Drosophila melanogaster: one gene and its partner. The protein of the gene in region 1 purifies or fractionates together with the protein of each later gene. This does not show direct contact. Each region holds a gene or a part of one and is shown in the gene's direction. Other genes may lie near its edges.

The links. Proteins that work in one complex are often made in the same cells at the same time.
Region 2: the proteins of LpR2 (region 1) and Apoltp purify together in Drosophila melanogaster (affinity purification with western blotting; one study listed by BioGRID). This does not show direct contact.

Annotation. Positions count from the first base shown.
Region 1 is NT_033777.3:25,738,776-25,742,532, reverse strand, and holds the start of LpR2 (lipophorin receptor 2), read left to right. Parts: upstream 1-2,067; 5' UTR 2,068-2,288; intron 2,289-2,910; 5' UTR 2,911-2,922; coding exon 2,923-3,478; intron 3,479-3,757. Other genes in the region: LpR1 (lipophorin receptor 1), read left to right, coding at 8-141, 218-379, 521-553.
Region 2 is NT_033779.5:9,632,086-9,635,842, forward strand, and holds the start of Apoltp (apolipoprotein lipid transfer particle), read left to right. Parts: upstream 1-2,093; 5' UTR 2,094-2,243; intron 2,244-3,757.

The DNA of each region.
Region 1 (3,757 bases):
TCCGCAGTTGCCGACCAGCGTCCAGTGAAAAACCATACTCAAATCGAAAAGACCACAACGCCCAGTGAGCAGCCGGATTCCGGCTTTATTGCACTGGTGGTCATAGCCAGTCTTAGTGGATTCGCTGTCCTGCTATCGGTGGTAAGTTGATTGGGCAGAGATGTGGCGACGTTCGGGGTATTCAATTAACTAATCAATTTATGTGGTGCCCTGACAGCTCCTGCTCATTGGCTACCGCTACTGCAGCAAGCGACGCATCAACTCGATGAACTTCGAGAACCCCATCTACCGCAAGACCACCACCACAGAGGATCACTTCAGTTTGCGCAAAAATCTGCCGGCGCGGATCTACGACCACACCAGTGTCATGGATGAGGAGGTGGGTCTCCAATTATTAATTACCATAAAAATCCAAGTATAATGATAAGCATTGGGTTTAACACACCCGCAAATGATTTAATTTCCCTTCCATAATATTAATCGGTATACTTATTATAATTTATCTTAATTTATCTTGCAGTACTCACCCGTCATAGGCATATCCTCGTATTAGATTGATTCCTCTGGAATCGTGTGAAATGTGGATTGGATGATTGTTGCGCTTGGTCGCTGGGAAAATTAGATGACCAATGCTAACTCGAGACCCGCGGCAGAAACACACACGCCTGAAGACTGAGCAACTCTGTGTATTGTGTAAATTAATTATTTTAAAATTTTAAGGCACGGCAAGGACGGCGGGTCACCTTGGAGCGCATCCTTAAAGGATGCTGTACAAAATACTATGTCGCAGAGTTCTATCACAAATAAACAAAAGAAAAACAAAACAGAAATAGTTACGAGAAACGTAAAAGGAAACGAGAAATCTAATTGCTAATTATAAATTACATAGTTCCAAACTGTATATAGCTGTAAGTGTGCATTATTTTTAAATGACGCAACTTAATATTACTATACGTAAACATGACAAAGAGATCATTGTGCTTATGGTCTACTATTAGAGCAAGTTGAGAAATTATATTTCTGTTGTCAAGGAGCAGAGTCGTTTTATTATATTAAAATTATTACTGCATACGTATTAGCCTTTTGTTAACTGTATTTGTTAAGTGTACATACATATGTATATGTTTCCCCACTAAAAAGAAAATATGATGAATAATAAACTCAGAACATACTTATGTGTAGCGTACTCCTGTGATATAATTACATGACTTTGTGGATGGGATTTTAATTTGATTGATTTCAAAGTGTGAGTGGTAAGTTGCCAGCTATTTTTCCAGTTTTTATTTCCAACATTGTCCAATTTACAATTTTTTGCTGAATTTGTAGCATTTCGTTTCATCTTCAGATGCACAGCTGTTAAAAATGCACATATATTTCTGTTCCTTGAAGAAATCTCAATTGGAAATGTACCGAAGGGGAATAATTCATCAAAGCTTGATGATTTTACACTTTGATGATATCCAGACTTGCTAAAAGCCCATCGTGTTTCTCAAGCATCTTTGTTATTCAAATGGAAACCATGTTATGAATTGAAATGCAGAGGTACAGGTGCTGTCAATAGATCAATTTCCGCTACAGTAAATGGTTTAACATTTATTGACCAATTGTGATTTACGTGTGTCTATGCTACAAAGCCCATTACTAGTTTCAATCGAAGCCTTGACTGATTGACCCGGGCCAACAAACAATTTAGACCTGTAATTTTAGAAATTGCTACCTCACTAATTGGATGCCGAAACGACAAATAGTGGAACACACCTCCAAAATAGATTGATACACGTTCTAAGAGAGCGGCCGAAGAGAGAACCACCTGTTAGCTCTGATTCAATGTCAGCTTATTTGCGCACTGGTAGCTTTGTCTTCTCTTTGTGTTGGAGATCGAGGCTTTTGATTTTCAACGCTTTGGGGCTCCCCCCGATGATGACGTCGACACTCTCTTTTCTCTTCGCAGGTGTGATATGGTACGCGTGGCGATCGTCGGTTCGTTGCCGAACGAAAGACGAGCACTGCCGAAGTTTCTAAGACGGTTCCATTGGTCCGCTCACTTCGGAAGCGATATTCCGGCAGTTTGTACTCGCAGTGCGTGTCGCTAGGTCGTCGCTGGTCGCTTATCGCTCATACGCCCCATGCTTTGGATATAACTTCACCGTTAAACCGAGAAATTTCGGAATGCGAAAAAAGTTTCGGAAAGCAAAAGTTCAAAGCAAATAAAAAAAAGTTCAAGCCGGGGCTTTAAGGCCAGCTCATCGCATTTGTCGAGCGGAAATAAGTGTTAATTAAAAAAAAATGTATGAATCTATTTTGGCCGAACGTTACGTCAATATGTCATGTGAAAAAACAGCATAAATTTTAGTCCAACATGTGTTTTGCCATTCAATAAAGTAAATACAAGATTTGAACAACCAGAACCCATTCCGAGCTGGAATAATGGTGTCAATGGGTAGTGGCTGCGCATGACTTACCAGGCTTACCTGGCTTATCAACCGTTATACCGCTGATAGCAGATATATCCAAATAAAAAATTATTTTAATGTTTTAAAATGAGTGAGAGGGACAGCATAAGGGGCTAACCCTCGCTTTGACCAAAGGCGTCGCCCTTAGCTTGCAGTTTTATGTGTGTATTTCGTGTTTTCTGTGCTCTTATGCTGTTTTTTCGCAACATCGTATGTTTCTTTTTCCCTTCATCGCCTTTTCCGCATGTTTATCGTACCTATGCCTTACACTCTCATCCCGATACAGTCGATTCATTCTCTCACTTTTGTGAACGTTTTTTTGGCAAACGTTGCGTGTATTCGCCTAAACTTATTATTTAATGGACGTGTATAAATAAGTTGGCAAATCGAACCAGAGTGAAAAGCGTGTGTGACCCACTGAGCCTAAAGTGCAATTTCTACCGTATATATATTCTAGCAGCTGCAAAAGATGGCCACAACCTGCATGCCGCATTTCACGGAATATTTTCAAACCACCACCCAGTCAGAGTTAACAACAAATGAAAGTGCCAACAGCAGAAGCAGCAGCAGCAGCAGTGGCTGTAGAGAACCGTCCAAAACCAGTGGCTTCTTCTACAGCGCCAGCACACATTACCAGAGCAAAGTGCAGCAGCTAATCAGCTTCAGCTTCACCTCATCGTTCCACCTGCTCTTCATCACCTGCATACTGAGCATCAGCAAATTCTGCAATGCGGCGGCGGTAAATGCCGCCCATGTGACCGCTGCCACGCCCACTGCCAGCGAGATAATGCACAATCTGAGCGGATCGGCGCTGCTAGAGCGTCTGAAAGCCAGTACTCTGGGACCCACCCTCGATCAGCTGAAGCATCTGGCTCCTGCGGCAGCCAACAGCATTAGTCCTGGTACAGGATCTGGCATGGGAATCGGGATGGGACACTTTGGCAGTTCCATTAATTCGGTGCTAAACGGAAATCCTTTAAAGTTCTTGAATGTGTCAGGAAAAATCGGCACTCCTTTGGACATATGTAAGTTTTTACAAGCCCATAAAAATGGTTTATTCCTAGAAGTTCTAAATGCTAGAGGTATTTGTAGTTATAAATCTTTTAGTCACTCTTTTTATCAACTTGTATTTATTTTTATGATTCATGAAAGGCTTAAACATTCATACATATTGCCGGCGAATTATTAGAATTAGTCAACTATTAACATCACGTCACAAATTAAGCTTTCCATCATATCAAAACTAATCATTTTTGTAAGAGTTGCCGTATTTTAAATATCTATTAAAAAGCTATGAATATAAA
Region 2 (3,757 bases), on another chromosome or scaffold:
CTTTAAATGAATTCAAGTTTACAAACTCTTCGGGCCATTTCAAGCTCTATTCGAGATATTCGAGTTGGGTCTAAGTTTTCCCAACTTCACAAGACGCCCAAAGACACTGGCGAGATTTGCTCTCAAGTATTTACCACTCATATGCAGAAAAGTGCAACAGAAAGCAGCCAAATGCAGCGGAGCACTTATTTTATTGACACGCATGCAAAAATACCCAGGGGATACAGTTGCACATATAGTATAGTAGATATAGCTAGAAACGATTCCGACACCTGCAAAGCCCTCATTTCCCCAGTTGATAACTTTACAAGTTTTCCCTTTTACTTCGGCTCCGGTTTGATTTGCATACCCGGGGTTTCCCGGGAAAGAAGGCAAAATAAACGATAAATGGTTCAAAAGGTTCCTCCCAGTACACACGAGCATTTGATTCGAATTGTTACGCAATTGGACAACTCCCCGCTTTTGTGTCCTGGGATAACAATTTTGCATTAATTTTGTTTGTGATTTCCATGCCTTAGCCCCTCCGCGCTGCGCCACCGAATTGTTCATAATATTTTTCATATTTCATTGGAAAATTAAATTCCTGGAATATTTTTTGACCCAGCAAGCAGGCCATGGACCGCAACAGATGGAGCAGCCGGATCAGCTTGGATACCGAGCCCCAAAAATCTGACCCAACTAGACAACAACAGCTGCCAGGGGTCTGCCTTCGTTTGCCCTATTGAAAAACACCAATGCCATTGAAGGCATTCACTTCCGATTTTAGCACGACAAGCGTTTGTGTTATTGAACAATCGCCGGTGAAATCACAAATAGCAAACCACACACAAGCCAAATATTCTCACACTTTCAAACAATATTTTTTGTATATAACATTTTTTGCTTGCTAGCACTATACCATTGCGTTATATTTGCTCAGATCTTATAAAGTATATTAACTTTTCCGTCTGTTGGTCATCGGATTTGCTCAGTTCTTGGCCCATATGTTATCCACTTCGAAAATATTACCATTCAGAGCATGGAGCTGATAGCTTCGATCTTCCTAACAGCAATCCATAACCTTTCGCCTGACTCCTTATCACACATCTCCCATACGCCACTTATCAGAGCTGTCTCTGCGCCGCGCTTGTGTTATCTCTGCTCCTCCTGCAATCAATCAGCCACAATCGCATGAAGGGCAACTGCGACTCCGGTCCTCCGGTTCTTCGCTTGTTTGGATTGGCCTCTCTTTATGGTTCGGCTGTTGATTTTACTACAAAATAAATACGCACCGCACAGCGTGAGGCATTTGGGGTGGCAGGGACCAGAGTCGATGGAATAAATAATATAAAGTTCAAACCGATAAGCAAAACACATCAGTGGTAGCGGCATACATTTGACAGTATGAAATCGAAATCGCATCAAAACAAAAAGTTGGGGATACGGTAGAGTATTAACATGCCCAATAGGCCAGTGTATTCACGGGGCATAGAGTGCCACGGCAAAATCCTTTGAAATATGGCATGACCAAAGGCATTTGTGTGGGCGACAAGCCAGCGGGAAGCTTTTCGGCCAGTCCAGTTCCGATAACATGAGCTGACAGCCATTAGGATGGACTGCAGCGGTGACTTCGATTGTGTTGGCATGCGTCTGATATGCGCGCGACAATTTCATTCATGACCCGGCTTCAGCCTCTACTCCTGACTTCCCGATATTCCCATTCGCAGTCCCCCATTCATTCACCACGCACTTTGAAACCCGAGTAGATGTTCCAGCGCAAAAAAGACATGGTCTCTTATCTGCCAAAAGTGGGCCTGACATCAAGCACTCGAAAAAAGATTGCATTACGATTACGATTTTCTTCAATATAACATAGAAATAAAATATTTTATTGTAAATTTTAAGTATTCAAAGTGGCAGACTTATAGTTTCTTATCTTTAAGAGAGAATTAATTTTTTCGCTCTAATCAATCTTTTTTCTCAGTGCATCGCGGGGTTACAGGGCGAGTGCCCCAGTGTCTGTGCCGATAGTCGGCTCAGCCGAGAGCCTGCGAACGAACGAGCGGAAAACGAGCGGCGGCATCAGCATCAAAATCAAGCATCAGCCAGAATCCATCGCCTCATTCGTGCTTGCCGCTTCGTGGGCAACGGACGCTTCCTCAGAACTTAAGTGGAGTGGCGAGCTGTAAAACGGAACCGGAAACGAAAGCGAGAGAGAGAAAGAACCAGCCTGTTGACGGTTTGGCGGCGCGTTCGAACCGGAAGTAAGGATAAATTCACCATTTGCTGCCTTCGTTGGCACTTGTACGCCATCCTGTTGCGCCGTCGCACTTAATTCCTTAGTCTCTGCGTATGTGTGCGTGGGTTAGCTGGCCTGTGCAAGTTTGTGCCTAACGTACCGGAAATGAGCATGCAGCTCATTAATGTGTGCTCTTTTTTTACAATAAAGTGCAGTAAAAAGCTGCAAATTCAAATGGGGAACATGCAATTGCGGTGCAAAACCCAAATGTAGCGGAAAATGTGGAGAAAGAACGTGGAAAGTTTACGAAAATAACCTCAAACTGTGAAAACCTGTGCGCCACATGTCGTTGAAATCACTATTTAACATCGCATACGTGTGGATTTTAAATCGGAATCAGTCTCGTACCCAGATAAGTTGGGTCAAGAGTTCAATACAAAACAAGAGGGAATAGTCGCAGTTTAATCAATGTCGGGTCTTATAAATAAAGTGTGTGAAGTGATAAGCAACTGTCGAGGAAGAGCAGAGAAAGATCTCTCAGTTTCAAACTGTCTTATTTACTCTTCTTGTGAAATGTTTTGCAGTGAAACTATGAATTGACATATTAAATGTGCTATTACGTCTATATATAAATGAATAACTATGCTATTATATTGATTTTCAAAATATCAAATGAATGCTTGCACCGTTACTGGAGTACATTTAATCATTCATTGTGTTTCATCTATAAATGAAATACAACATTATATGAGTGAATAATCTGATCAATAAAAAAATACAAAAACGTGCAAATACTTTGAACTGATTACTGTCAAATGATAAGAGATTCCAGAATGAAATCAGCTACTACTTTTGAAAAAAAAAAAATAGATCCGTTTCCGCAGCTAAGTAAAATGAAGATGAACTTTACACTTATAAAAAACTATATATAAGCTTGGATTTTCGAGAAGATTTAAGCCATTAAAAATGGAATGCTTTTATTTAAAATATTTTAACCATAATAAGAGTGAAAACAAAATGCTTTTATATGATATAATATTGTTTATTCTTTTATACCGTATATCAATTATAAAGTTTTAAACACGTTCTTTATTGTTGTAGGAAGAAATGCAGAAACATCTTATTTTTACGTCATCCCAATAGATGACTTATATACTTCAAATTTTTTTATGAATTATCTTTAGATTTATGATTATTTGATAGACTCTTTGCTTACTCTAAGCATGGTTTTTAGTCCACTTCATGTTGTAAAAGAAGACTGAAAAACATTTTGCCCCTTAACACCAGACAAAGGGAGCTCCATAACTCTTAGCGCATTTATTGTTTTCCGCACAACATGTTGTATGCTCGTTGCTTTCACACTGAATCCAACACATGAAACATGCAGCACTTGCAGGTGACAGATTCAGATTGTGCAGGTGAAAGGATTATGGCTTTCCCAAAGCACTCAAATGTCACCATGCACGTCAGCAACTCACAGAGCGCATTAGCGGGGGCCCACTGTGCGGCTTTCCTTTAATTTCCTCAAGCGATCTGTCC